Linked DNA regions of Drosophila melanogaster. The protein of the gene in region 1 interacts with the protein of each later gene in a pairwise test. Each region holds a gene or a part of one and is shown in the gene's direction. Other genes may lie near its edges. The genes, in order: CG14984, CG6845, Pex14 and CG13102.

The links.
Region 2: the proteins of CG14984 (region 1) and CG6845 interact in a two-hybrid assay, tested with the Drosophila melanogaster proteins (one large-scale study listed by BioGRID).
Region 3: the proteins of CG14984 (region 1) and Pex14 interact in a two-hybrid assay, tested with the Drosophila melanogaster proteins (one large-scale study listed by BioGRID).
Region 4: the proteins of CG14984 (region 1) and CG13102 interact in a two-hybrid assay, tested with the Drosophila melanogaster proteins (one large-scale study listed by BioGRID).

The regions. Positions count from the first base shown.
Region 1 is NT_037436.4:3,949,101-3,956,205, reverse strand, and holds CG14984 (uncharacterized protein), read left to right. Parts: upstream 1-3,655; 5' UTR 3,656-3,857; coding exon 3,858-3,945; intron 3,946-4,329; coding exon 4,330-4,454; intron 4,455-4,719; coding exon 4,720-4,854; 3' UTR 4,855-5,013; downstream 5,014-7,105. Other genes in the region: CG14983 (uncharacterized protein), read left to right, coding at 6,914-7,105.
Region 2 is NT_037436.4:142,805-150,890, forward strand, and holds CG6845 (uncharacterized protein), read left to right. Parts: upstream 1-3,628; 5' UTR 3,629-3,699; coding exon 3,700-3,902; intron 3,903-3,967; coding exon 3,968-4,278; exon of another isoform or gene 4,279-4,333; coding exon 4,334-4,594; intron 4,595-4,648; coding exon 4,649-4,862; exon of another isoform or gene 4,863-4,925; coding exon 4,926-5,079; intron 5,080-5,131; coding exon 5,132-5,609; intron 5,610-5,657; coding exon 5,658-5,841; intron 5,842-5,899; coding exon 5,900-6,037; intron 6,038-6,090; coding exon 6,091-6,166; 3' UTR 6,167-6,252; downstream 6,253-8,086. Other genes in the region: Pdk1 (Phosphoinositide-dependent kinase 1), read left to right, coding at 1-75, 139-413, 711-1,016; Dic61B (dynein intermediate chain at 61B), read right to left, coding at 7,004-7,214, 7,280-7,492, 7,545-8,086.
Region 3 is NT_037436.4:20,775,024-20,782,146, forward strand, and holds Pex14 (peroxin 14), read left to right. Parts: upstream 1-3,775; 5' UTR 3,776-3,909; coding exon 3,910-4,020; intron 4,021-4,079; coding exon 4,080-4,382; intron 4,383-4,654; coding exon 4,655-5,083; 3' UTR 5,084-5,355; downstream 5,356-7,123. Other genes in the region: pitslre, read left to right, coding at 1-1,030, 1,151-1,684; Pex16 (peroxin 16), read right to left, coding at 2,046-2,959, 3,020-3,131; Pcif1 (phosphorylated CTD-interacting factor 1), read right to left, coding at 6,635-7,123.
Region 4 is NT_033779.5:9,009,054-9,016,566, forward strand, and holds CG13102 (uncharacterized protein), read left to right. Parts: upstream 1-3,134; 5' UTR 3,135-3,210; coding exon 3,211-3,268; intron 3,269-3,331; coding exon 3,332-3,508; intron 3,509-3,572; coding exon 3,573-3,790; 3' UTR 3,791-3,996; coding exon of another isoform or gene 3,997-4,869; 3' UTR 4,870-5,096; downstream 5,097-7,513. Other genes in the region: CG9568 (uncharacterized protein), read left to right, coding at 1,607-1,664, 1,726-1,911, 1,983-2,191; Rcd-1r (Rcd-1 related), read right to left, coding at 3,997-4,869.

The DNA.
Region 1 (7,105 bases):
AGCGTTTTAAATAGCATTAAATGCCTATATACACATAAGCAAACCAAATAAAAACCGAAAAAGAAAAAACCAATGAAAAACTAAAAAAAAAAAACGTATATAAGAAATTCCATTGAACAGTAGTGGTAACAATTATGTGATTTGCAATTTTACATTCAAAATATATATGAAATAATTACGAATATAAATAGATTATATATTGAGGCGAGCGTTTAATTGATTTATTTATGAGTAAGATTTATTTATACACATTATACACCACAAAAAATAAAAGTGAAATGAAAACGAGAAACGAGAAGCAAACAAAATGACAAAGAGCTAAAAGTATGAAGAACTCGAATGAATTGAAGTGGGGCTAAAATATGAAGCTAAAAATATTTTTACACAGCAACCTTGTTTTATACACGCAACAAGTTGAGTCCCAAAATCGAAATACCCCGAACACAACTGCAAAAATTAATTAGAGCCCCCAAAACACTTACAAAACAGATGTGCAGCTGTGCTCCCGATTTCTCTTTACTTAACTTTAGTTAATTTTGTTTGGTTTCAAAAATATGTAAACACATATTTTAATGTTAAATACACATCCGAGGTTTAAGTTTAATATTTAGGTTCAGTATTTACCGGTATGTTCATATTACACAATTGGAAAAATGTGTTATTTAATCAAACCATAAATATATATTTATCCATTAGTTTATATAATCGTTGAAAAGGAAGTCGGGAACTTCAGCTGATCGGCCCAAACACCCTCTTGATAGAATGAAATAATTTCTAGATTAAAGACACCAATTACATTTTGATTATTATACAATAAACAAAAGGGCAGAAATCGAACGGTGAGATATTTTATAAAATGAACGATGAATAACGTAAAGATATTAATTTATATATTCATATATTAGAGATGCAAAAAGACTTGAACAGTTATATACATTTAAAATTGCAATATATTGTATACTTCATTAAAAAAAAATATATACATACATACCGGCATATATGCAACCACGTATATAAGTAAACATATTTAACTTATTTATATATAAATGCTTACAGCGAACCATAAACATATACATCATAAACCGAATCTCAACTTTTCCAATGCAAGACGAATAGGAATCCCTCAAGTAACTCAAGATCAATTCAAGTATATACTCAATGACCACACGGCCGGCGCGATCGCCTGGCCGTACAGGAATATATATAGCTAAAGATATATAGTAATACGTATGAATGCAATACGATGCCACGCCCACTCCCGATTGGCGGGCAGCGATTTTAAGGCGCCGCCCCATCGGAGTTTTCACAGATTAGATTTTTCCTTTTGATACTTAGCATTCGTTCTTGTTCTACTTTTAGTTAGAGAATGTTCAACTAGTTTCAGCTTCCGTAGGAGTTAAATAATCGACTTTAAACACAAACCACACCTAGATGAACGAACACCCAGCTATACTAATAAGCCCGTTACCCCTTGACCCTTGACCCTTGACCCCGTAACCCCATACACTCTATTAGACACTAGCCGACATCTACAGACCTACCCACATGCATAACCATGCGATTTTATGGCAAATATGTAGAGCATATAACCTATTATATCCCAAAGAAAGCTAATCCATTCTTAAATTAAAATACACACGAATAGCCGGAGGAGAAAGCGAACCGATTCGATTCGAAATTCGAATCATAACGAACGAAAGCAGAAGAATCACACCAGAAGAATCCGTTATGGAAATGACAACAAACAAAGAATTAAACTCCCCCCCAAAAGAAACAAACAAAAAACAAAAAACACGAAGCATCCAATACAAAATCCGAAAACGATGAGTCGATGGAATATAAATTAGAATCATAGTTATAAACGCTACACCCACACACTAGTGCAGCCATGTAACTATTTTTAGAGCCTCGGAAATAAACATACATAAAATACATAAAAATATTAAATAAACGACAGAGAAAACCAAATACTTGTTTTCTGGCTCTTATTCATGGGAAGTGGGTTTGAGGTAAGTACATTCATTGCAGATAATTATAATTATTTATCTAGCTTAAAATTAATTGCTTCAATTTTCTTTAAATTTATTTAATTATTGTTATTAGTTGCCTAGATATATGAAGCTATTGGCTATTGGCTACACTCAACAGCACTTTGTTTAAATTAATTCTTTAAGCACCTATGATTGCATATTTATGATTGCAATTAAGCTTCTTGCTCACTTTTTGAAACTTTAATTAATAGAACCACTTGAAATGGTCGGACTTCAATGAAAGTTAATTCAATGGACCATAGAGAACACGCACTTTGAGTGCACTCGAGTCCAGTACAAGGGCTTTACACTGAAAGTAAAAGGGCTGATTTGTTTAGATGCCATTGTTTTAAGGGCAAATTATTGCGCAACTAATAAACTATGCATCGCTGATTCGATTCAAATGTGGAAGCCACACGGGCAGCTCAGTCAACAAGCGGCATTCAGCAGATGGCTGCACATCATATAGTAGTATACTATAGTATATGTCTATAGTACACAGTACTTGAGCATTATATCGCAATCTGAATGGGGCGGGGCACACACTCCCACACACACACACAGAGGCGGGGGTACAAGTGCCTCGTCATGTGGAGTGTGTTTAAATGAAATTGCTTGATTCGGCATAAACATATTTACTCTGTTGAATATTTGCCCAACAATTTGATTCGCAATCTGGGCGGCCATGGGCATGGGCAGGTCTGAAATGCCGAAATCAAAATGGAATTGTATCAAGGACGCGGAACAATCGAGGCGGGCAAACACACACACACACACACACACACGTGTCGAGGAGGCCTCGTTCCACATGCCTCCTGCCAATCCTCCGGATCGCAAAGTCCTCCACTTGCATTCAATGGCGTAATCGCAGGCAGATACAAGTACTTGTATTCCGATTTCCGCCGCTGCAGTACAACCAAACCCAAGCCCAATCCCAATCCATACACCCATCCATCCGACGACCCGCGGCATTTCATCCACAGATGTCAGCAATTTCTCGATTTGAATGCTCAACAAAAACGAAAGTGGGCAAACAATTCAAAGGCGAGTGCGGAGCAAAAATAACTGGCAGCAGGGCGCAAAAAAGACGAACCTCTCCCGCGTAAATGGCTTCTCTAACGACCCAATTAATTTGAAACAAGTTACAGAAAAAAAAAAAGAAAAAATGGCAAAAAAAATAGAATAACGTTTGAATTTAAGGAACACAATCAGAGTGTGGCGGCGTTGCAGGAGTGGAGCGCCACAGGCCACTAAATGCTGGGTTAGAAACCATGCCCTTGCTGTTCTTCCGAGGAAACCCCTCCCCTCAACACCCTAGAAACTCCGGCAATTGCCGCGAAGCCCCAAGCTTTTTATGCCCCACCACAGCTCGAAAAGTTCGCCGACAGCTTCATTACCAGCCATCATCGGAGCCATCATCATTCGCGTGCACTGCGAGAAAAGGGGAGCATTTTTGGTGCTTAAAGAGGTGGGGTATAAAAGGTGCAAGCGGATACACTGCAAAGTATTTTACAAACACATTTAAAATATATTTCAAAATGGTTTAAGAAACTTCTTAAGCTGAACTGATCAGCTTTCTTTTAAAATACTTAATAAGTAGTAAGTAAAGTGCATGCAATTTCCCTGCAATTCCTGCATATCGATGACATAATTTTTCTCTCTCTGTTTGGATGCTGCTACCCATGAGTAATTGGCCCGGCAAAAGTTCGCTGGAGTCGAGTCGGATTTAAGCTTGGCCGTTGGCCGATCTAGCCTGAGTCTCGAGTCTGGAGTCGCGTCGATCGCAGTCCGCCATCAAATCGCGAGAAGTTCACAAATAGAATAGCCATGGTCAAGAAGACATCCGCCAGCCTGGGAAAGAGCATCTTGCTGGGAGTTCTGTTGTTTCTCGCCGTACACGCACTTCTCACCGAGGGTAAGTGGAATGGCTGAAATATATGATGTACTTTTACGGGCACTAAATGCTTAATATTAATGGCACATCTGCTTGAAATATTTGCGGCTATTGTTTTGGAATGAGAGATGAAAACAGGTTTTCGAGCGCCAGAATCGCCGGCCAGTGGCGTAGTTTCTGGGGATCGTGGGGCACAAAGCTCACTGTTACTCGGCTCGTTAGTCATAATTACGCTTTGTCGTGATTCAAGGCTTCCGGGTGTATGTCATAGCCAAGGCGGCGCAGATTAACCAGCTGATAAGCCAAACAGCAACACAAATGGAAAAATGAAGCGAAACATAATTTAATGGCGTGTAATTAAACTGAAACACCCCACCCCACCCCTCTCTCTCTCTCGCCCACCAGCGGCCCCCTTCCAGGAGCTGGAGCCTCGCAAAGGTCATGTGCCCGTCTACATCCGACATGGCGATGAGCCACTCAGCGAAATCCATCCAGGACTGGCCGAGGCCTTCAAGGAGGGCGAATCGAAGGTGAGTCCAAAGGACATTTACTGCTAGTTCAGGATTATGTGGTCGTTATTTGAAGTCCTTTTGCTTTATGTACAACTGTGGTATATGAACTTGCAGAAGTTAGTTAGATCGCTCGATTCACATATATTCTAATGTTCTCTTTCATTTCAAATTTTTTAAATTTGTTATTTCATGCAGTTTCTACTCATATATATAGTGTGCTTAGTTTGATTCGTTTTTATGAAAACCCCTCGGATTCACCATCATTTTACTGCTCTTTTCGCAGAGTCTCGTCACCGAATCTCCCCAGGCGGAAACTACAAACCCACCAACCACATCCGATGCTCCCGCTCCCGCTCCGTCCAGCTCCACGGTATCGGATATAGCCAGCTTTGAGGCCATCAAAGGAAAGACGGATTAAGGAATTGAATAAATTCAAAAATTGCTGCTTAAACTTATTTAGTCTACGAGTTAAGTCCATCAAACGAAAGCGCCTAAGGTCTGGTGACAAATCAGCAGGCGAAATGGTGTATATTTAAACATGAAATAAACATTTAAATAAGGCCAGTTTTAACTGAATAAATTATATTGCTTACTTTTCTTAGGCATAATCCGGAAAGAGTTATAATCAAATAGTAACCAACTATTTCGCCATTAAGTATGGATTTGATATACTATATTTTAGAAATTAAAAGCCTACTCAGGTCTTGCTTTAAATCAATGTTTTGCCTTGGCGAGTTCGAAAAGGTCCTGACCCTGTTTAAAATAAACTGTAAAGAGTTTTCCAACTTAATTATTTGTACAATTTGCAAAATTACCGGGCACGTTAAGTCGCTTTAAACGATGCCATTCCCATTCGACTCAGCATCGTCACCATCGCCATAACCAACCAGCCAGGAATTGTGTGTCCTGTCTGGCGCGCTTAAATGAATTTCTGAATTTCTGTGGACCCAAGCTCGTTAAGAGCTGTGCAAGTTTCACACATTGAATGGAAATTATTCGGTCCTTTTGGGTTTCAGTTTCAGTTTCGGGTCCTGTTTCTCTTTCTGTTTCGGCTTCGAAGTCCTCGAAGCTCGTCGCTGGAATCGCCTTGGAGCTTTGAGTGTGATTTACTTGTTGTGCCCATTAGGGAGTAGCGGGCACCCCTCAAATGGTAGGAAGGACACCCAGACACCCGGACGCCCGGACACCCTGAAGACCAGAATCAGGACCAGGTCCTGGCCAGGAAGCTGTGTGGCGCAAACGTTCGTAATTAATATAATGGCAACGGCTGGGCCGAGTAAAACTCCAAAATGGCCTACACACGTTGCGGTTCGGCTTTGTTAACGGAATGGGAGAATGGGCGTTGTGGTCTTGGAGGATTTTTTGGCCCGTCCTGGCTGATTGGGGGCGATCACAAATTGTTGTTTCATTGTCTCACAGCCCGGCTGTCTAACGAGCAATAAAACTAAATACATACACATAAAGTTAATTATAAAAGGGCAAAGGAAATTGGAAGGTCCCAGACTATTGAGCTACTACGATGCAAGTGATGGATTAACCAAGATGGAGTGTCCTTCGCGGCGGTTAGCTGGCTTGGCAATTGGGGGGCTGGGGGCTTTATCTGCAGACGAAATCGGGCTGCAATCAAGAGGGCATTAAAAGGAAGGCAAAATAGGAGGGCAAGAAAAAAAAAAGTGGCTGTATAAGGAAAAAAGCAAAGGGAAAAACCACCACAAGAAATACATACAACAAAAAAGCGACGAAAACTATGCGTAGTAAAAGCGAATTTTATGGAGCATCCTCGTTTAAGAAACAGCTCCTGAATTTAAATTCCTCTGCGTACAATCACATATAAGCGAGTATTTGCACACGCACACAGATACACCAACGCACACACACACACACACACTAGCTGCCAAGACCGTGTTCTTGTATCATTGTGTGCGTTCGAGCGCATTCAACCTCAAAATGAATAATTGCATATGCTTCAATGATTTGCGACTTTATTCGAGAGCGCAAGCTTCTCGCAAGCTGCTCCTTTGCTCCTCTGCACCTCCGCTCGCCAACTGCCAATACTTTAAAGTTAAAGGCCAGGAGTTCAATTGCAGGACCTAAGGACATGGCAGATGAGATGGCAATGGTCGCCAATGAGAATAAGCCACCAGTGAGCGACCCATCCGGGCTAATTTGAGAATTGCCCGGCTTAATTGCGTGGCACTTAAACAATAATCAAGTTAACGGTTATGCCGGCGATTATCGCCATTTTTACACCGATGCCAATACTAAGGATTATTGGCTGCCCATTAACAGGAGCAGCAATTCCAATCCGAGTCCCCCAGCCCGGTTCTCAATTCGATTCCGTCCAATCCAATGACACTCGTACACAGCCAAAAATACTTGGAGATCAGTAGACGTTTGATTTTGAATTGTTAAGCTGTCTATATAACATTATCCAATGCTGCCAATTCGAGTCTAGATGTCAAAGTTCATTCAGAAAAATGTTACATCTACCGAAAATTGTCGACTTGTTGAAGGAGCTGCAAGAGCAGGAGAAAGAAATTCAAGAGATCATTCTCGAGGAGAGCTTCGCCAGTCCAGAACAGCGACTAGCCCAACTGGAATCGGTCACATCACGGATGCATCTATACCATTCAAGGCGCGGGAATATTCTAATGAGTTTGCAGCAAGAG
Region 2 (8,086 bases), 3.8 Mb from region 1:
TATCGCGACTGCTTAGTGCAGAATTAGGCGTTGGCAGCAGCGTGGCCATGCCCGTCAAGCGATCGACCGCAAAGAGTAAGTGTCCACGTGGTGCCCCAGAAAAATACGTTGGCTAATGAATGTATTGTTTTTCTTCAGACTCTTTCGACCTGAACGATGCCGAGAAGCTGCAGCGTCTCGAGCAACAAAAGACTGACAAGTGGCACGTTTTTGCCGACGGCGAAGTGATCCTCAAGAAGGGGTTTGTCAACAAGCGCAAGGGTCTGTTTGCCCGCAAGCGAATGCTCCTTCTGACCACGGGACCGCGACTCATCTATATCGATCCCGTGCAGATGATCAAAAAAGGAGAAATTCCGTGGAGCCCAGATCTCCGAGCGGAGTACAAAAACTTCAAAATTTTTTTTGTCCATACGGTAAGTGTTTACCTATGGTGGGATAAGGATGCACGAGGCGCAACTCGGAAAACCGAGAAAGCATAAGTTTGTTGAACCGATGACATCACAGCTTATAGTTCGTAGCCAGTCACACGCCTACTGAAAAGCAATTTGAGCGTTAGTTTATGTCCCGGGCACGTGTTGGCTATGAAAGCAAATTAAATGCGGCATTGAAAACTGCACACGCAAGGCAGATAAAAACTCAAACTTGTTTGGTGAATGGGTTTAAAATTAGCGTTGCGCTCAACTAATTTTACTCTTTTGGTTTCATTGCAGCCAAATCGAACCTATTACCTGGATGATCCCGAAGGCTATGCTATCCACTGGTCGGAAGCTATTGAGAACATGCGCAAGTTGGCCTACGGAGATCCCTCCTCCACATCTGCAGTGTCCTGCTCCAGCGGCAGCAGTAATAGCCTGGCTGTCATCTCAAATTCATCCGCCGCCTCCTCAAGCAATTCGCCCACGGTGAAACGCAGTTCCCCCGTAAACGCTCCTCAAGCTTCGACGGCGTCTGACAACCGGACATTGGGTAGCACCAGAACGGGGACGTCACCTAGCAAGAAGACGGCGTCTAAGTAAACGTAGTCCTATTTATAGCAATGTGAAATTAATTTAGTTGAAATTTAGTGCAAACGAAGCGATGGCGTAGAAGAGGGCGGGAATAGAAGTAAGCTTAGAAGTAGAAGTAAGTGATGAAGGGGAAATAATGATCGTGTCTCTAGTGCTAATTAGAACCAAATTTCTGTTTTCCGATTTGTATTGTGCTTAGGGCGAAAATATAACACTAGAATAAACTTATCTAAAGTAAAATACATCTATAACGACTAAGTAAATTCAATTTAAAATTTAAATTAAATATTTATATACAGCATACATAAATACAAATATATTCGTATTTAGCGCGTAGTTAGTCGCAATTGAAATGAATTACACACGGAGGCAAGGTGGCATTGTAGGCTTAAATTAAAAGTAATTTCGTGAAGCAAACTAAAATCCGTATTTAAATGGTATAATACTAGGAAATTATCTGGAAACTGTAATATACATAATATGTGTATGTACGTCGGAGAAATAATTTTTGTTTCTGTTATCGTGGGAAGATCACATATATGTTAATATAAATTTTGTAAACAGTGTAACTATGTACAGAACTATGTGAGCTATATGCACACGGCAAAAAGACCCTAAGTCGTGGGGAAGGAGATGGGAATGAGCCGGAAAACCATCGATGTCACAAAATCGGTGTTTTTCCAGCTTCACGCTCAACTGTTTAGGTAATTCTAATATACAGTTTAACGCTAATTATCATTATTTATCATTCTCATTATGCTTTTCGTTTACCTATTTGCCCTATAATGAAATGTATAAGACTTGAGCTACCCTAATAAAAGAACGAATTTTAAATTATATTTTTATTTTGTAAGGGCTACCACTAAAAACTCAACAGTCGTTCAAAGATTGTCAAGATTGGCGGTCGTTGTCTCTCCAACTGACTCCAATTGAATGTGTGTAAAACAAGTCTTATACAAAGATATATGTAATAGATGTAAGACAGACTGCAAAGTTTCTTGAAACAAATTAGTTAAATGTTGTAAATGTCTAAGTTGCTACCACTGCTACTACTAGAACGCGCCCATCCCCTCCCATATTTACCTTTAAGCTACAGTAATTAAGTGATGAGCAGAGGTGTAGAGTAAGGAGTCGAAGTTGAAAGAAAGCAAAAAATACATTTTGTACATACATATCGCCGTTGGTCGATATACATCTAAACATAATTTAATTTTTTGTTACTTTTAAGTAAATTATTTTTGGCGACCTAAGTAAATTAAAATTAACGCAATATGCAACAACACACATAAGTATACAATTAATTAAATTAAACGAAAATTACGATTTATTAAACGATGTCATAGAACGGAGAGCCACTGATAGTGAGAGAAATCTGTAAAATAAATATTTAAACAAATTATATATTATCTATATATGAGTACCAGAACAAGAATGTCAAAAAAGAGAAGCATGTAAAAATAAAAAATATATTACGAGTAAAACAAAAAAAGATAATCGAGCGAAAGGAACGTATCATTAACAGGAAAAATTAAAGAAAAATACAAAAACATTTCAAAGTAACAAAATTACGATAAAATTTGTTTTTATTTTGGTTCGTTTGGTTATTACAATTGGCAATATCTAACTGATTGGGTAATAAGTGCGCGTATCCCAGTATCCAACGTTGCAAAATGATACAACATTTCAATAGGTTTCAAAATCTACGTAAGATACACATAAAACGACCTGACTACTTTGTTCTACCCTACGCTTGTGCTGCAGTACCTAAAATCGAAGAAAGAGTACAGTGAACAGGGCTAAGATATAGAAAGACAGCTCTATTTCTGCAATCCAAAAAGGGCTTGCCCTAATTAAAATAATTGCAAATGCATTGCGCTTCAAATCCAGAAGCCTTTTTTACCTTTTATAGCCTACAGGAAAAAAGAAAAAAGAGGAGATAACGGAAAGACCCATAAAATCGAAAAGTGCATAGGTAAACCTGTAGGACGATTAGTGGAATACTAAAATCATCATATGTTTTAATCAATAAGTATTCCAATTTTACCAGGGGCAAGTGTATGCGAATTCTTTCAGTACGAGTATTTAATATATTTATTTTTATCATAATTGTATAAAAACCTGAAGCTCCAAAATAACTTGATCATTTTGAGAAAAATATTAATAAAAATTATTTTTTTGTTTATTTTCTTATTATTTAGTTACATATAATTTTATTTTATGTTTATGTTTTTATAATTTTTATTTTATTATTCATTATATTATAATAAATAGATTCGTTGAATAGTATTAATATTGGATTTGAATGCAGCGATGCGTTTTACGCATTTCAAATCCGAAACTCGCTTAGATCACACGACGTAACTTTATAAGATATATAAATCAAAAATAACTGTTATTTTGAAAGAGAAAAAATGATGTTGTTTGAAATAAAGGAACAAAAAAGCGAAAAACAGAAAAAGCAATCGGTTAAGTTTTAAATTCTTTTTGGGCGCCAAAAATGAATCGGATAAGCCAAAAACAACAAACAATAGGCTTTTCGATTTTAAGAAGGGTCACATTTCCGATAACAATGAAAACTCACATTTAAATTGGTCACACTAAGTGGGGCGCCAAGAGAAAATATCGATATCGATTCCGACTGTTGTGTTAGACTTTACAAATAAATTACAAAGAAATCGATCAAAATAAAATCATGGAAGAAAGTCAGCCAAGGTATGGCGCTATGTGGACATTCAAGCTGGTGGCACCATACGTAATTGGCGGCTACCTATGCGGCCTCGCGGTAACGCTCGCATGGAACTGGTGGCAGCTGGGCCACTTGGTTCTGGGTCTTAATCTCACCTTCGCGATTCCGGTGGCGCTTGTTCTGGCGGTCTTTTACAGCAGGCCCGTAAGGTAAGAACTACCTGAAAAAGCCCAAAACGATTTGTGTCTAACAGTGTTCCCTCACTGGCTGCCAGGTGCATTGTGACTTTGGCCCTTCCCTCGCTGTGCAGCTCTCGGGGAAGGGCGTTCCTCATCAGCCTTGCCTTTGTTATTGCCGCAGTTGGGCCTACGGCGAACATTCTAGCCAATTTGAAGGTGATGCTCCGCAGCCTCGCTTGCGGACAGGAGCTATTGCGTCAGGCGCTTGGCCAGATGTTGGACGTAATACTGGAGCCGGTGAATGCCATCCAGCTAGCGGTGGATCTCTTGATGCGGGAAGTGCGTCGGGTGCTCAAGCTGGCCATGGTAGTGCTGTTACGCATTCAGGACCAATTGATCGCAATTAGTGAGTATCTGTATTAAAAAGTGCTGCAGTTTTCTCTGCTGATTCATTTTTGTAGTTAAAACCCTGAAGAACTGCGCCGCTTGGCTGAAATCCATCGTAGACCTGTGCAACACAGAAATGGGCACTCCCTGGGCACGTTGCAAAAAGACGGCGCATCACGCAATGATCAGGTGCCAGTCAAAGATGGGCGTATTCAAGGCGCTATGCCATGCTGCAAAGCTGTTTCTGGCCCTCTGCTATCCAGCCAAGATCATCGATGTGTTTTGCAGCGGTTACTGGGATCTCAGCTGGGGTCTTCTTGATAAAATCGCAGAACGTGAGAGTGTAAACAACGATCGGTACTTTGGTTATTAGTTATACGATCTCGCAGGCTACCGTGAATTTGTGCGGCACATCGAGGAAATGTTTGATGCCAATATCACTTTTGAGCACGAATTTTTCTTCGATACAAACTCTTCAAAGAGCCTGACGGACGTGGGGGAGGAAATTTTACAGGATATTAACAAGCGTCTGTCGTCGTTTATCTTCTTGAGCAGCTTTGTGGACATTCTCTGCTGGGTCATGGTGGTTACTGTATTTTTTAAGTAGGCAAGAGCTTAATCATCTTATTAATTTAGTGTTGGTGATGCCTCAATTGTTCCCATCAGAGCCACCATCTTCTACCTTCGATATATGCACAGCCGGCAATTTCAGAATGTGTTCTTGACAAAGATACTAAGTGATATCGACCGGCGGCACGAAAAGCACGGTTACGATCCACTGCTACCCCTTCATCAGCTTGAAAGGGCAAAGTATATGAAGGTAAGGTTTCCCTACGTTTCCCTGACATAATATTACAATGATTTCATTGCAGCTTACTAGCTTGCGTTTGACTTTGTTTGAGTTCGTGTCCATTGTTGAGAACGCCTGTTTCATGGCCACAACCTGCTTGCAGTTGTTTGCGATTTGCTTTCTGGATTACGGGCTGTTCTGGCTGTTGGCAACTATATCCCTCCATGGCCACCAAGAGACTGGGCTGGAGGTGCCCGCTTACGTCGATCTAGAGATTAAGGGTGGGGGCTTTGTGGCGGATGTCATGCGGGGAATCGCTAATGCCTTTCGACCCTTGACGCAAAAAAGCATTTTAGACGTGAATCCTTGCCTCCCGCTGCCCGTGAAACCTGATTATGCGGAGTATCTAATTATATTATTACTCTGTCTGCTCGCTTGGCTGATCCTTTTGGCCGAGCCGTATATTTTGCGTACTCGCCATCTTATAATGGCCCACTTTTATCCAAAACGCGCCAAGGAAAGAGGCATGTTTCTGTACAACATGATTTCCGAAGATAGAAGTAAGAAAGTACATACCTTTTAAAGTTGTTCTAATGTATTCTCTCCAGCAAGCATTTTTAAGTTTATCCGCCGCAGAAAGCGTAATGAGTTTAACCACACACGGAATGTGAAGCACACCAGAAACTACACTTGGCTGAACAATAGATTCTCCTGTTTAATGTGCATGTGCTCCTGCTGCTCATCCTGTCAAAGCACTGAGAGGTGCACCATATGTGGCCGATCTCTGACTCTGTAAGTAACTCCAATCGTTAAACACACTCCGGGTTACAGTTGGATGTCCCCTTTTTAGTTCAAATCGTAACCCCTGCGACACTCCTGGATGCAAAGGGGTTTATTGCGGTAAATGCTTTGAAAAGTCACACAATAAGTGTTGTCTGTGCAATCGACCAGTGGATTATGGTGATTTTTCCGACGTTACTGAAGTAGAGTGAGTAAAAACCAGGGTTTAATCGACTATTCTTAATGGTTTTGTTTGTGCAGCGACTCTTCGGACTATTCTGAAAAAGAGTCTTTTAGCGAAAGGCAGTACAGGAAGACCTGTGGAGGACAACGCTAGCAACGAGGGAAAAACAGTTAAACATAGAGGTTGTGAGCGCATACACGTTATGCAGATAGCTCAGAAATATAATATTTCCACCTATTAAATACCTGATATTCCAACAATTTAATATATGGTTATAGGTGAGTTATTCAATAAAAATAACTCTTGTTATTGCTGATCTGATGTCAGTGCAATTCCTACCCTTCACCGCCCATGGAAGTCGCAATACGGGGACTGCGTTGTTTGGCGAGCTTCTGGGCTGAAATTATTATTTAATTAAATACTACAGCGACAAATGGCTACACAGCAATTCAGAAAATAACCTTGTTCTCACCCCTGTTTTCGATTTTTTCTTTTTTATCAAAGGCTTGTTTGCTTGATACCTATTTTTATTTCTTCTTGGGCTATGACTGTAACGTGCTGTTGAACATCTTCTCATTATTGTTGACTTTCTCTTTACGACTGTTTAATAAATTCTGCTCTTCCCCCACATGCGGCTTCCATTTACCAAGCTTATACGAGCATTTATTATATAACACCCGTCGACTTGCACCGATCCCTCTAGACCCTATATCGACCCCTATCCACTTGACCACCATCGTTGACAGTCAACCACACACACTCGAAAAACAATGGAGCTCATCTTTTCGAACGGATTTTTGTGCTTGTGCAAGGTAATGCCCGGTCCGTTCGGATGATATCAAGTTACTATTGGGTAGTTTTGTTTGACACTCGATCGATCGCCGTTGTGTCTCTTAGATAGCTGATGCGTGAACATTTCATCAGTGCCATCCAGATTCGCTTTCAGGCCGACGAATTATTTTGTTTTATTGAGAATACCATTTTTCCTATCTAAAAAACTGCTTTTTTGTTTGGGTACCCAAAGAAACCAATGCTTTTAAGCTCCATAAGAAGCTCGTGGTCGTTGCCAATTGCCTTGAAAATGGCTTTCTCTAACTCGTCGTATTGGAAGTGTGGCGAAAAGGGCATGTCGTTCAGGGCGTTGAAGAGCGTGTTCCCGCGCTCGTTGCCAATAACCAATGTGCGACCACAGTGGGAAAACCTAAGAATTGGTAAAGGAAATTCCTATTCAATTGGCCATTTTTGCGGAAAGCAATAAAAGCTTACCTGGCCACAGTATTAAAAGAAGAGTCCATCTTGTGCTTGGACATGGGTCTTAGCAAATTTCGGCGAAAGTCCCAGACGTTAGCGGTTTCCCGGTTCACCGTCACAATAATCGTAGAGTGGGTGGGGCTCCACTTGGCCCAATGCACTGGGGTCATCTCGTCTAGCAGTTCGAGAAGAGGTCGCGTGATGCCATCGACCCAAATGCGTACGAACCTGCAGAATAGATACTATCTTTAGCTACCCTTGATAGAGGGCCACTTCCTACCAATCGTTGCCGCAGGTGAGGAAGAGTTTGGGAGACCAAGGCGAGAACTCCATTACGGTGACACCCCCGTCGTGACAACGCAGGACTTCCAAGTACTGATGCTGATAATTGATTGAGCACTTGTGGATGCAGCCCTCATCTGTCAGCACGTAGTAAATGTCCTTGTGCAGAGGATGTGTAGTGATGCTTAAGCCTTGCGGGTGGCGGTTAGACTCGCAGGGGATACGCGACGATGGGTGAACGAAAATGCCCTCAGGATGCCCCTCGACTCGCTCCAGAATCATTTGGGTAAAACCAAGCAGGAAGGGACTTTTGATAATCCGGAAGCGGGTGACCGAGCCATCCTGGGAGAGGCTCAGGAATGGATCGATGTCTGTTTCATGATCGTCGTCTGAAACTTGTTTGATCCAGCGGATGGCAACCACCGGCGAGGAGCCTGGCGAAGTGCTGCGCTGCGAGACCGCAACGGGTGTGTCCTGCAAACTGCTCACATCTCGCACTTCCACGCTGCCGTCGTACAGACCAATGGCGAGCAAGGATGG
Region 3 (7,123 bases), about 17 Mb from region 1:
GGATTTACCCTTACCCGACAGTCCACTTAGCGTGGGTGAGCTATACAAGTCGCCCAAGCAACGTCAGCGATCTCGCTCTGTAAGCTCCAAGAGCAGCTCCCAGTCCAGTCGAAGCAGTCGGTCCAGATCCCGTTCTAGAAGTCAAAGCAGCCTAGAGGATGAGGTAGATCGTCAAGACGTGGGGGCAGATGCCTCACCCAGCAGCAGCACACGCAGCGAGGAACGTGGAATGACCCAAGAGCAGCCGGAAGAGAAGCCCGAGGAGAAACTCAAAGAGAAACAGAAGTCTCTGGAGGAGCAAATTCCGTGCGATGACAAGGGCATTCCCCTGCCCAACTATTATCCCGGTGTGCAGGGCTGCCGGTCTGTGGAGGAATTCCAGTGTCTAAACCGCATCGAAGAGGGAACCTATGGAGTGGTATATCGAGCCAAGGACAAAAGAACCAATGAGATTGTGGCTCTTAAGCGTCTGAAAATGGAGAAGGAAAAGGAGGGATTTCCGATAACATCACTCAGGGAGATCAACACTCTTCTCAAGGGTCAGCACCCGAATATTGTGACCGTTCGCGAGATCGTGGTCGGATCCAACATGGATAAGATATTTATTGTGATGGACTATGTAGAACACGACCTGAAATCCCTGATGGAAACGATGAAAAATCGTAAGCAGAGCTTTTTCCCCGGAGAAGTCAAATGTCTGACGCAGCAGCTTCTGCGGGCGGTGGCCCACCTCCATGACAATTGGATATTGCATCGTGACCTGAAGACCTCCAATCTCCTCTTGTCCCACAAGGGCATTCTCAAGGTGGGTGATTTCGGATTGGCAAGGGAGTATGGATCGCCGATCAAGAAGTATACCTCACTTGTTGTCACTCTCTGGTATCGTGCACCCGAGCTCCTTCTCTGCTCGCCGGTTTACTCCACGCCCATAGACGTCTGGTCGGTAGGCTGCATTTTCGCCGAATTCTTGCAGATGCTGCCGCTCTTTCCGGGAAAATCTGAAATCGATGAGCTTAACAGGATCTTTAAGGTAAGCTGTGGTTGAGCATTAAAGTTTAGTTATTAAAATAAGCTTGTTGAACAATTGTTAGTATTAACTTTGAAATTCATTTGCCGAGAATGCTTATTGACTTTTGATTTATTGTTCTAGGAATTGGGAACTCCGAACGAGAAGATCTGGCCAGGATACACCGAGCTCCCAGCCGTGAAGAACATGTTGTCGCAGAACTCTCAGTTTACCGAGTATCCCGTCTCGCAACTGCGCAAGCACTTCCAGGAGAAGACCTCTGAAATGGGCTTGTCGCTGCTGCAGGGTCTGCTGACGTACGATCCGAAACAAAGACTGAGCGCCGACGCGGCACTAAAGCACGGCTTCTTCAAGGAGCTGCCATTGCCCATCGATCCATCCATGTTTCCCACCTGGCCGGCCAAGAGCGAGTTGGGAGCCCGCAAGGCGCAAGCCTCTTCCCCCAAACCGCCATCCGGTGGCTCGCAGTTCAAGCAACTAGGCCGCGACGAGCCCATCATCGTGGGACCGGGAAACAAGCTCTCATCTGGGATTATCACTGGCAACAAGAAGAGCCACGGAGCTGGTGGATCGTCGGCTAGCACGGGATTTGTCCTGAACGCTGGAATAACGCAGCGCCAGTTGGCCATGGGACCGGGATTCAGTCTGAAGTTCTGATTCTGTGTGTTTTAGCCCATTACGATTACGATTAATTGTTATGTATAGTTAGCGATGTAAGTGGAAAATTTCGTTTAATTGTATGTGTATAAATATTGTTCCATATATAATTTAAAAAGCCATACAAAGCAATTGGGATGTATAATCATTTTTCACCTCAAGAGCGGCAATGCCATGTGGGTGGGTCAATTCAAGGAATATGAAAGTTGGCTATAAACATATCGAAAATTACTCCATCGTTTTATTGTGCAAACAACTTTTCAAGGACCAAAACTCAACCCACCCTCAACACTCCGAATGCGTCCACACCTGTAACTTTAAAACTTAGCCTAGGGGAATACTAACGCTCTACCTGAAATGCCTAAGTGGACCACAGATAGAAGTAAGTGCTTTGCCACGTGGGAATGTAATCTTTAAGGGGTTTGGCAACCACCTTAGCAATGGGCACACTTGTGGCCACAAAGTCGAGGATCCGCTCCAGTCTGGATTTGGTGAAGCTGTCATAGAACGGCGATCGGACCAGGAAGTACATGATGTTTATGCATCGCCTGCTCAGCTCCAGTTTTTGTTGCTTGGACATTAGGTCGCGATGCTGGCGGTAGAGGTGAATGCTATACAAATCAATGGATAATGCTACCATATATTGCTTCCAACTTCTCCGGCCGAACAGCCCCATGGCGACCAGGTGGATTAGTGGCTTCGATATATACAGGTATTCTGCTTGCAGGAGTTTCCTCGGAATTTGCGTCTTCGCCGCTTCATTGTTGTCTATATGAAGCTTGAAGTCGCGGTATTGCAGGGGAGGAGCACCCTCCACTTTACGAATCACACGGCCAGATCGCTTCAATTGGAAGGTAATGGAGTGCTGGGACTGCAATAAATCGTTCGTGGAGGAGGCCACACCATCCCCCGAATTCTTCCTCTGTTTGGCCCTTCGATTCAGTGCGGCGATGGGCGGTGAGGTGATTATATCCGAGGTTGAGTGTTTCAAGATAAAGAAACGGCCCGCTGCCTTGAAGGCCTGTATTAGCGCTATCACCAGCCACTTGCCGGATTGACCGAAAAGCCGACGGGCTGATATCTCGATGAAAACCTCGCTATATTCGAGCGTCGTCAACGTGACCTTTAGACGGTAGCAAAGTTTCGATTGCAGGTGGATCACCGAATTCTCCTCGGAATTGCGTGCCTTTTCGATGATCCGGTCGTTGTAGAACACCAGCATGTTTGACAGTGTATATACCAGCTCACTGACCACATTTGATGAGGAAATGCGACCTGGAAGCCGGCCAATGAGATGAGTCTGTAGGCTCTATGTAAGCAAGGAGTTCACTTTACCTGCTATAAAGTAGGATACCCACTTGGCTGTGGTCTCAAAATCCCCCACCACGTCGGGGTTTTTGCCCACCCACGCCTCGTACGCCTTCAGCATGCCCTTCAGAGTGTCCATTATATCCGGAAAATATTGTCTGTTCCTCCAAATAATAAAAATAATGAGGTGTTTCGGTCTACAGGTAATCAAATCGGTGCAGTTGTGGTGTTCTGGCGTTTTGAACAAGGCGTTAGTGCTTTCATGCAACACAAAATAGAAGGTGACGCAAAATGAATACATATATGAATGCAAGCACGGAGAGCGTTGATTAAACGCTTTGGATTAATAAAATTGGTACAAAAATAAATACCAAATACCAGTGTCACGAGCTTATCGCCATTACACTTTCAAATTTTACCACATTGGTGCTTACACGTCATAGAAAAAGAAACTAATAATTAAGGACCCACAATTTGTAAGAACCACATTTGGCATATCTGCCACCAACCTTTCATAGCCCCTTTTAATGTTCTTCAATGTAAAGATTTGCTTGTTTAGTCTCGGCATCTTAATTCAAGTTTCCTGATTCTTTATACTGCAGTATATTTTTATTGGGTATATTATGCATTTAAAATTTTAGCCCAGGTACTATGTTCTTTATAATAGAAACATTTCTTACCAAATTTTTCGGTAAAAACATTTTTCCAAGTTCAAATCTTTATTACGTTACAAATTACCTTAACGTTATACATAATAACCCTAGAAACGCTAATGCATTAGTAATTTCGAGAGCAGCAAAGTCTTTGGTCACACTTTTGTTTTTGTGCACTTTGTAATCGAATTGCTCGTGAATTCGGATTCACTCCGTTTTCGTGTGTATTAGCTAGGCAAGATTGAATTAAGAGTCGATATACAGATGTCCAGCAACAACACGGACACTGGGGACACCACCGTCATGGCGACGGCTACCTCGGTGCAGAACGATGTCGAGGCCGGCGTAGATGAGCAATTGCCTCGAGAATCGCTGGTAATATTTGTTCAACCCCTTCAAGTTTGCCTAATCTATAATCCGACTATTCGCCGCAGATAACCACTGCAGTCAGTTTTCTACAAAACACCAAGGTGCGCCACACGACACTTATCCAGAAGCAGCAGTTCCTACGGTCCAAAGGTCTCACCGCTCACGAAATTCAGCTGGCCTGTGAACGGGCCGGCGTTTTCACCCAAGACCCCAACAAGCCCAATCCGAATCCGAACACCGTCATTAGCATTGGATCCCAATTGCACGCGCTGCAGCCGCAGCCGACTGTCTTGGGCCGGATCAGGGAAATCATCCATTCGGCAGCCCTGTTCAGCGGAGTCGTCTACGCAGTCTACATCTTCTGGAAGGTGAGATGCAGTGGGATCTCTATTTCGGGGTCTTTTAAAAAGATTTATTATATTTACTCCACCAACTCGAGTGCGAATTTAAAGATCGCCATCTTGTCTAAGGCTTAGATACATTACACATATATTTGATGACACTTTTACCAGACGACGTTGAATTTACTTAGTATTTAACACATTTTGTAAAAGTGTTAGGACGCATAAATAAGTTTTAAGTGGTCCACCAGTCCAAAGTCCATGATTGCTAATAACTTCTAAAACCCGTATAATTTCAGCAATACATTGCGCCCTACCTGTTCGGCAAGTCCAAGAAGAAGGCGGTCGATGAAGTCCTGGACGACATAGACAAGAAGGTAGAGACCCGCACCAACGACCTCAACAAGGAGATTTTGGCGGTCAGGGATCTGATCACCACACAGCAAAGGGAACACGCCCAGCAGCTGAACCGCGAATTTAGTAACTTCCGTAGCGATCTGGATGCCATTAAGGGCCTGCTTTTGAACCGAAAACAGTTCGCCGGCCCTGTGGCTCCGATCGCAGTGCCATCCATTCCCGCCTGGCAATTGGCCGGCTCACCGCATCACCATCACCGGCACAGCGGGTCGGACGACAACGAGAAGGGCGATGATGCTGGATCCGGGTCTGGCTCGTCGGAGACAGAGGTGGTCACCAAGAATAGTGACTCCAGCTTGGAGATCATGTAATGCAATCAGAATACGAGGCTGGCTATATAGACGTAGTATATAGTTACGCTGTAAATTGAGTTTCCCCGTTAAATGCCTTCAAGACTTTTGGTTTTTTTTCTTTGCGTTTATAGCATTTAAGGTTTCTTTATAGTCAACAGCTAATCCATATCCAAAAGTACATACACACACTCACATATACACACTTATGCGATACGATGTCTATACAATGTAATAATAAAAAGTTTACATAATAACAGGTTTGAATTGAAAGAAACTGTTTAATTAAGCGCAAAAATGCTTTGTGTAGTTTTTTGTTTATCGGTACATACGGGGTGGGGATAGCATATCGGTTTAGACAATAAATTTCGACTTAGACGATAATTGGATTCTAAAAATTTTGCCGAGTGCTACTTTCTATAAATTGGCTAAATTCCCTTAGGTTTGATTTAAGATTATGCCGGGCGGAGCACCTCGAGGTTTTGCCTACAAGCTCCTTGAAGACTCCACCCAGATCCTTAACGGATTTAAATTATTTATTTATTGTGCGGTGCCTAGTTATGGTTTTGTTTCAATTACAAATTTGGTTCTCTGCGCATTCCCTTCATTAAATTTCCTTCACTACTTACGTTAGTTATCGATTTGTACATACGATAATTTAGTATTCAAATAATTGTTTGCCATTTTCGTAAAAGTTAATGTATTCTAGTAAGTTAATATTCTCACAAACGATTGTTAAGGGCTTCACAGTTCACATGAATGTGTTCTTTATTTCTCACTTCGTTTTGTGAATGGACAAACCATTGCGAAATACCCTGAAACAAGGATAGAGAACAGTACCCCTACCCATACTATGTATGCATTATTAGAGTCTTTTGTTGGGTAGCTTGGCCCTTGTTTGTTGGGTACAATCGTATAAGATAAACAGCGGCCAGGCCGGCATTTTTATCAGCTATTTCAAATTAAATATAACATATTTACAATTAATTATACCTTGCGATGGGGGCAATACCAGCTGCCAAAGGCCGAGCACTGTGTACGTTTGAAAATTAAAGCTTTGACAAGAAGTACAAAAATGTGTACGTTTGAAAATTAAAGCTTTGACAAGAAGTACAAAAATGTGTAACAAAATATTTAGTGTTTTAAAGCCTGTTGTTTGACCCAAACGTAATTTACCATTCGGACAGGCATCATTTGATTAACACCGAGCGATGTGTAACGTTACAAATTAAGTTTTTAAAATAAGAAATTACAAAATATTGCGTAATATGTATATGCGTTTTCCTGGTTCCAACGATACATTTTGAAAACGGAATTGGATAGTTGTACTTTTTCGGAAAAACAGAAGTTGCCATCCCTTTGGCTTCCGCGTTTGTTTAAATTAAAGCGATTATCATCCGATTACACAAAACTAAACCTCAGAACTGGGAGCATGGCCGCTAGTGTGGCTTCAGGCCCAATTGGTTTTTTCTTCCTCAAATGTAACCCTAATTTATGCTAACAGAAAGTGCACAGATAGTATGGACAAAATAGAACCATGTGTGGATAGCAAGATCCCAAAAAGAATCAAATCTAGACGGCTGAGTTGATGACCGCTTGCGTGGATGCGGAACTACTGATGCTATTGGCCTGGCCAAATGCAGATCCCGCTCCAGCAGCCGATGTGGTAGTCGTTGCCGTAATGCTCACCGCTGCCGCTGTGGCAGATGTCACTCCATCCGGATAGCCGCCCGAAGCAGGAGCCGGTGAAAGAGACATCGTCGACGAGGAGGGCGAAGAGCAATCGCTTTGCACACTCATTGTGGGCGAGGCGGCCACCAAATTGCTGCTACTGCTGGTGTTGCTGATGGTCATCGGAAACTGTGGCGGCGGATTCCCGGTGGGCGTGTGCGGGGACAGTGGCGACATTGAGGACGATGTTGTGGTCAGCGACGGGCTGCTGCTTGTGCTCGTTGTAGTGGCTGTGGATGAGCTGTTGCTATTGACTCCACTGATCGTACAGGAGTTGGTTGTTGGAGCCGTGGATGCGGCGGATGGGGGCGTCGATGGCGATTGCTGGCT
Region 4 (7,513 bases), on another chromosome or scaffold:
AATAATATTCTTGTCAGGATTAAAAAGGATACGTGACCGGAATACGAGTGAAATGTGCAAGCGGAAATGTGGCCAGGACAAAAAGGGCAGGAACAAAAAGCGGAAAAAGTAGACAAACAGGAGCCGCAACAGGACTAAAATGTATCTGTCAGACTCCTCGACTTTTGCTATCGTTGTCGCCTGTCGCGTATCTGTATCTATGTTTGTGCTTGTATTTGTCTTGCCAGCTCTTAGCACCACCGCCATCGTCATCATCATCATCATTTCGATGCTTATCCTTGCTTATTGTCCTGTCGGAAAGAGCTCGCTGCTGCTTCTTGTCTGCTACTTTTTTCCTTTTTAATTTTTAAGAAAGCATATTGTAATTCTGTTGTTTACCTGTTTGGACACTCGGATACACGTACTTTTTAAATCTCGACCGCAGGCGATCCATTGTTTTTTTTTTTTTCTTTCGTTCTTGCCAAATTGGAGTGCTCCCTCCCAATGCAATGCAAAGTCAGTCATTGGTCCTGTCATTTGTTATATTCTCCTACGCATCCTTGACAGCGGCTTAGCATCCTTGTTGTTATAGCTGCTTAGCTATTCGTGACATGTCCGGGGCAATGCCCACGATTGTGATGTATGATTTTCAATTCCACCTACGGCGAGTCCTTTTCTAGTATTGTTGAAATTATCCCTTGGCTTGAGCAACAAAAAATAGTATGGAATCATTTTTTTGTGGCTTATCGTGAGTTTACTTGGCGGCTAAGCTATGTGCTTTCTTCCTTTTAACTAAATCTTAGGTTCTAAACTAATTGAACATTTTATTTATTTCTTACTTCATCCTGTTGTCATAGCCCAATGCAAATGAATCACTTTTTGTTTATAAGGTAGAAACTTTTAATATTACATTCACAATCGGTTTTTATTTCAAATTAATTTATGATGAACGTTTAGGGTTTCTTATCTGGGTTGAAGCTTATTACTCATCGTCATGAATTCATATCGACTTCAGACATTACCTCACATAAACAAACTTAACTTTTAATAACTAATAATAATACTAAAAAATATATTCTGAGACACATACATATAGTATTATAGTATTTTATAGCCTTGTTTTGTCTCACATATAAAACGTATGTTATAAACATGGCGGGTATCATTTATTGGAATATTATCAGCTAATAATCAGGATGTTAGACATTGGTATAAATAAGCCATTGTATGTCACCTATCAATTGGCAATACTTGCATAATGATTTAACTTTACATAGACTCATGCGGAAAAGCATATAAAACTTGGGAAGAGTTCTGTTCCCATTTTGGCTTTAGTTATCACATTGGAATTTATTTGATAACAGTTATCCGCCGACCTGAAAATGCACTTCATCAGCAGAAATCCCCGTATTTGGCTTTAGTCAACAATTCCTGACTCAAAGTGGGTTTGCGGGCCTAGTGATAACATAATCTAATCTTTATAACCGACATAAAAGCCGCTTTTATTGAGGTAAAATGTTGGACTACAAATTGAGCAGCTATCGGCTACACTTGATTCAGTTTCGCTTGAGGTAGCCTTACGAAGAGTTGCGCTTATAATTATTAGGAATAATATTAACCTATCGAAATGTGGAAGAAAATAATTTTCTGTGTGGTGCTTGTGGCCTTTGTGGTTGTGCCGTTTGGTGAGAAGAAAAAGTGATCACAAAGTTGAATCTTTGCTAATGGAATATTTTTATATATTAGCCAACTCACTGACCTGCTCCAAGTGCACATCGCCGTCTGGATGCAAAAGTCCTTCCTCCGAAACCTGCTCCAATTCGACGGCCAATGCCAATAAGGAATTTCTGGAAGGATACCATAGTAATGTGCCCACCGTTAATGGCAGTCTGAGTTTTTCGTGTGCCAATCTCACTTACTATCATGCAGCAAGTATGTTTTTTTTTTTTCTGATTTACGCTTTTGAAAGAAGACATCCTAACTTGTTTTGCATCCCTTTTCAGACTACACTCACACCTTTGAGTTCCTGGGCTGCGTCTTCAACGAAACGAATGTCTGCAATCTTTCCCTGAACAACACCGCGAGTGGATGGAGCAAGAAGTGCCTCCAATGCGGCACCGACTACTGCAATCCAGCTGGAACCTACAGCAGCAGTGTCTATACAATCGTGGGATCCGCCATTGCCGTGATTTTGGCCAAAGTTCTAAGCTAAACTTATAATCTGACGACGGAGCTAAACAGTATTTCAACTACCTTTTGATTGTACAATATTTATTTGAATTAAAAATAAAATCATTTAAGATAACGAACAATGGGATCTTATCATAAAAAATGCGTAAAATTTTCTACATGGAAATCCAATATTGATTTTCATTTCTATCTTGTTCACCTAGGAGATCCTGACTGTTTGTTTAAGAGTCTTATGGGTACGCATTAATATATATTAGCTTATAAAGTTTACTAATCAACACAATTACAATCGTATTTATAAATTAAAGCATTTTTCTACAAGAAAAAAACTAATTAAGATGGACTAAAATGTAACCATTGCATATATTCTAGAAAATAAAAATGTAAATAATCTTTGACCATAAATCATGAAGAGTTGCCAATCAACTCTTCAAGTTAATGAGGTAAAAAGTTCCCCTTCCCAATTGCTACCAATTCTACGCAACAGACTTATCATTTATTGCATATAGATTTGGTGGGGACTAAGATAAGAGCTCTTTATTAAAGCCGCTCAGGTGTTAGATTACCAGGTTGTGACTAATATTTGAAACAGTGGGCTAGGCCCACGAATTTTACAAATAAAATTAAAAAGAATTTACGCTTAAATATATATATGTATTTATATATATTGCTGGAGGATTATGAAATGTTTGTTATTTCGGTAAAGCAGTGAAATTCTTATTTGATTTAATATGTTTAAATGAGAGTAGGAATACAGGAATATTTCCAAAAATGAATGAGTTTCGAAAGGGGAAACCCTTACTGCTTCTCCATTGAAACTTTTTGATAAGTTTATGAGCCTGTAAACGTAAAATGATAAGATTAACTTAACAAACGACATACATACAAGCTTATCTCAAAGAATTGAGTATTGTGCAAAATCTGAAGAGAATCGCCGTATAAAAGAGTTCTTGGCATTTAAAAAGAGTTTAGTTTAAAGCGAATCGACATCTTGCAAAGTTGTACTACAGTTAAGTGTGAAGTAAAAATATTTAAACCAAAATGTATATGAAAGCTTTAATAGTCAGCATACTTGTGGCCTTTGTGTGTGTGCAAATTGGTGAGTCAATTGCGTAAAATGTGAAATTCGAGATCAACTGATTGTTTTTAACATGGATTATAGCTGATTCCCTGAAGTGTTACACCTGCGTAACGCCAAAGGACTGCAAGAGTCCCAAGAAAGTCACCTGCACGAATGCGGCTGCGAATGAGACTAGTTACTACCTGGGTGTCTATCATCAGAATGTTGGCAACCTAACCAGCACGCGATTCGATTGCCTGGCTCTGAAGTACAACTGGAGTGAGTAGCGTGGGGACCCCAGAAGCGGACTATAAAGATTTATTAACTACTTTCCACTTGCCAGATAACGATGTGATCCATCAGCTCCATGGCTGTGTGCATCCAAATGTTGGAGCCTGCAGCTTAGCACTTAAGCCGGCCTATGCTCACTACAATAAGACCTGGTGTCTCACCTGTTCGGGCGACAAGTGCAACAAGAATCCGGCCGGAAAGATGAGCAGCAGCACTATTGCCATCGCGTCTAGCGTTCTGGGTCTCTTGCTGGTCAAGATGTATGCCTAGTGTGACTATTAATAAATATGAGCTAGGAGCTATGATATTTTATATTTGATATTTTTTATTGTACCGTCAATTTTAGTAATATCATAATTTCATTTGTAGATTATGTAGGCCATGTTTATTCGGTCGAGCAGTTAACTAGGAGTGGGTATCACTAATCGATGGCGCTTGAATGGACGGTGGAGTGACGAAAGTTGTTGGGCGCTTCTCTAGGAGGAGCCCATTGGGTTGACGGCGTTTGTCTGCAGGTTCTTGAGCAGCATCTGCAGCCACTGCTTGGTGCACGTGTCATGTTGCACGAGCGACGTGAAGGTGCCGTCACGCAGCAGATCCGGCAGACACACTCTAAGTGCACTGCGAGCGCGCGCATTTTCCGTAAGTAGTAGATAGCAGCGCACCACATGCTTCAGCACCCGGAGGCATGGAAACTTCAACATATGGATGACCATTTTGCCCAGGGTGATGGCCACCTGCGAGAAGCGATCGTGGTTCTCGCAAATGTACGTCAGACCCATCTCATCGAGCAGTATCTTCTCAAGGATTGAAGTGGCCGCGATCTTGGTCAGCTTCGATCCCCTGACCATATTGGTCAGACAGTGAGGCACGACCTCGCTCCATATCAGGAAGATGAGGACCTCCGTATCACCGGTCTCGGCCAGAGCATTAATCACGCCCAGCGTGGTCAGGCGCAGCTGCTCGAAGGGCCTGCTCTTGAACGTGGTCGACAAGAAGGGGTACAAGTACATCGGTATCTGGTCCCGCAGGAAGGCCGGGCGAGTCTCCGGATGCGAGGCGACGCACTGTAGCAAAGTCAGGGCGTAGCACACGCGGTTCGACTGGTTGGCCTTCAAAACGGGCGTCGTTATTATGGGGTATATGTTGACGATCTCCTGCAGCAGGGTGCAGGTGGTACCGACGCTTTTCCACAGCATGGGGGCCAGGTCCGCATAGGTGTTCTTGCTCAGCTCCAGCAGAGCGGTCTCCCGCGTGGCAGGATAGGCCAGCTCGATGATCAACTGGTACACCTTCTCCCGCTCGGCCTGCTGCTGGGGACTCATTACCGGACTTGGTTCCGCACTCATCGCAAAGCTGGTTTTTTTTCGCGTTAGCTTGCAAAGATCTAGTAGCTTGGAAAGATCTGGCTCCGGAATTTCGACGGACGATTGAGAAACGTGGTTTCGAGTTGGCGTCTATTGTGGTTATCGATATAAGCTTCAAGCGAGAAAGGACCGAAAGCACGTGGCCGAACAATGTGGCCAGAGCCGAGGAACGCACGAATGCCATAAATTAATAAATAATTTCTTGTTCGAATGTCTCCCAGAATTTTGTTTCTTATCACCATTGATTTGATTGGCAGCTTGGAATTCGTCTGGAAATTCACGTTTTCTCTATATTTTACAAGTATTAATCGGTAGATGATTAAAATTTATGATTCTATTAAGTATGTCATAGCATAGCTTAGCTCTCTGAAATGGCCAGACTAATTGCGCATCTGATGGAGGTCCGATTTATGGCTTAATGACCATTAAGTACTTTTGGACACCAGTTTTAGAATTAATGAATTCGTATTGACAAATACTATAAATCAAAAATCATTCTAGCACACACAAATATTTGCCTTTAAAATTTTCAAATATTTTATCTCGCATTTAACCCATTAAACAGATGGATGCTTGGAATAGTTGTCCATTTCTGGAATTACTTGCCAATACAGAAATGGTTAACAGAAAATGTATTCTTTGCCACATCGTGCAACATTTCAATTTTGTTTGTTGCAGAGAGCTTTAAAAATTTCAGTCCGTCACATAAATTGGCCAACTATCCCAGAGAAAATCGGAGATTCGAACGAGCCGAGAAACAAGAATAAATCTTTAATAGTGTTGCCGTCTGCCTAAAAGTCAATCTCACTTTTGCATGCCGAACATTATCCGGTGGGTCATGTTATGGTTATCGTGGCTCGGTTTGTTTGGAGCTGCATTCAGGCATTTAATTGATTGATTGTTGCTCGTCTATGTCTGCATCGATTTGGCCGTGTTCACGCCCCTTTCACCCTTTCACCGAGCCGCCTCCAAAATCCCGTTACAGCGTCCCCTTTTTCGGATGTTTCATAACCAAAGCGGAAGGGATCCATGCCGCCCATCATATCGTGCACGGTTATCAAATCGACTTCCAGGCTATATCCTCGCATACATGCATATGTGGTCCACGTTGTTCCTGCTGCCAATTAGTGTTGGTGCGTCATCTGTGTGGCTGTGTGAGTGTTCATGTATGTATGCGTGTGTGCACGTCATCAATTAATTTTTGTATTGTTACTTTTTTTTTTTTTGACTGGTTTTTTGCAGCCCTCGGTGGGTTACGTGGGGAATACCCCTGTTGACTGATTGGTTTCTTTTCGATTCAATTGTTTCATGTGTGCCTCGGAATGGGAATGGATGTGTTTGCTAAACAAAGTTATGACTATGGTCACGGCTATAGCAGCTGGCTCAGGACTAGCTATACAATACTATAGTTTTACTATAGGCAAGCTTAAGAAGTTATTGTTCCCTCGAGATATGCGAATCAAAACGAGTGTCACTAAGAAATTATAGTTGTTAACAATGGAAAGTCAACACTTATGATACAATTCTTATCTGTCTTGCCTTAACCAATAACTGTAACAGTCTTAAATACTTGAATACAAACTACTGCTTACATTTGAGACCTACCCAGATTCAAAAATCAAACATCCGCACCACCAGGAATATTCTTACTTTCCCCTTATCTGTGCTCCAAATCCACCCTCGATATCCGAAACTTGTTGGGAACTCCCGGAAACTAAATTAAGTTTAGCTTCAACTACAATATGTACATTTGATTTATGCATTGAGAGACCATGGAGCAACCTGCCCGAGACCCCAGAAAATTTCCTCCTGCGAAAACGAAGACGGGAACCCTCTGATAACTAAGCCAAACCTATTCAACTTTCACGTTCGCATTGTTTGCACGAGCACGAAAAGTTATTAAGATGCATAGACGTGATTTTGCATGTTTTAAAAAAGAATACATAATGCCACAGATGAGACGGGGGAGCAAAGGACGTGGTATTAGTTGGGGGGAAGCTGGGATCTTGACTTGCACTTTAAGTACTTTTAATTTACCAAACAAATTTCCATTCTTCGCGACGACCGAAAATGTTGCATTCGAGAGGCCAAAAGAGGCCCGAAACTTGTCTCACACCGCAAAGACAAACTCATTGACATGCCTGAGACAGGAATTGAATTAAAAGTTTTCGTCCTTCTGCGCGGAAATAGAATAACGAGTAGAAGTTTCATTGTTGGGCTTTTGGAAAAAAAGTTTGCTGCATTTAAATTGATTTGTAATTCGCGGTTAATTTGGTTTTTTTCAGCTCCTTCTTTGGTTACTTTTATCAATTTTACATTGTTAGTTTTGGACCCTTCTATGCGATTAAATTATTATTTTAATTCGACACGGAATGCCTGACAGATATTTCAATTTCCCTTTGTATTTAGTTTTTACTGAAAAAATGCTGCAAATTAAATATGTATGTATTATCATTTTAAATTGTCGCAAAATGTCTGCGGTATTGCTTGATGCTTTGTGAATTTTCGGTATGTAAATCAAAGAAAGGCAATTTGAATAATGATGCTGCAATCTGAATTAAATTTTGACATGCCGATATTAAAGACCAAATAAGCAATTCAATATTTTGCATAAATTTCGAATTGC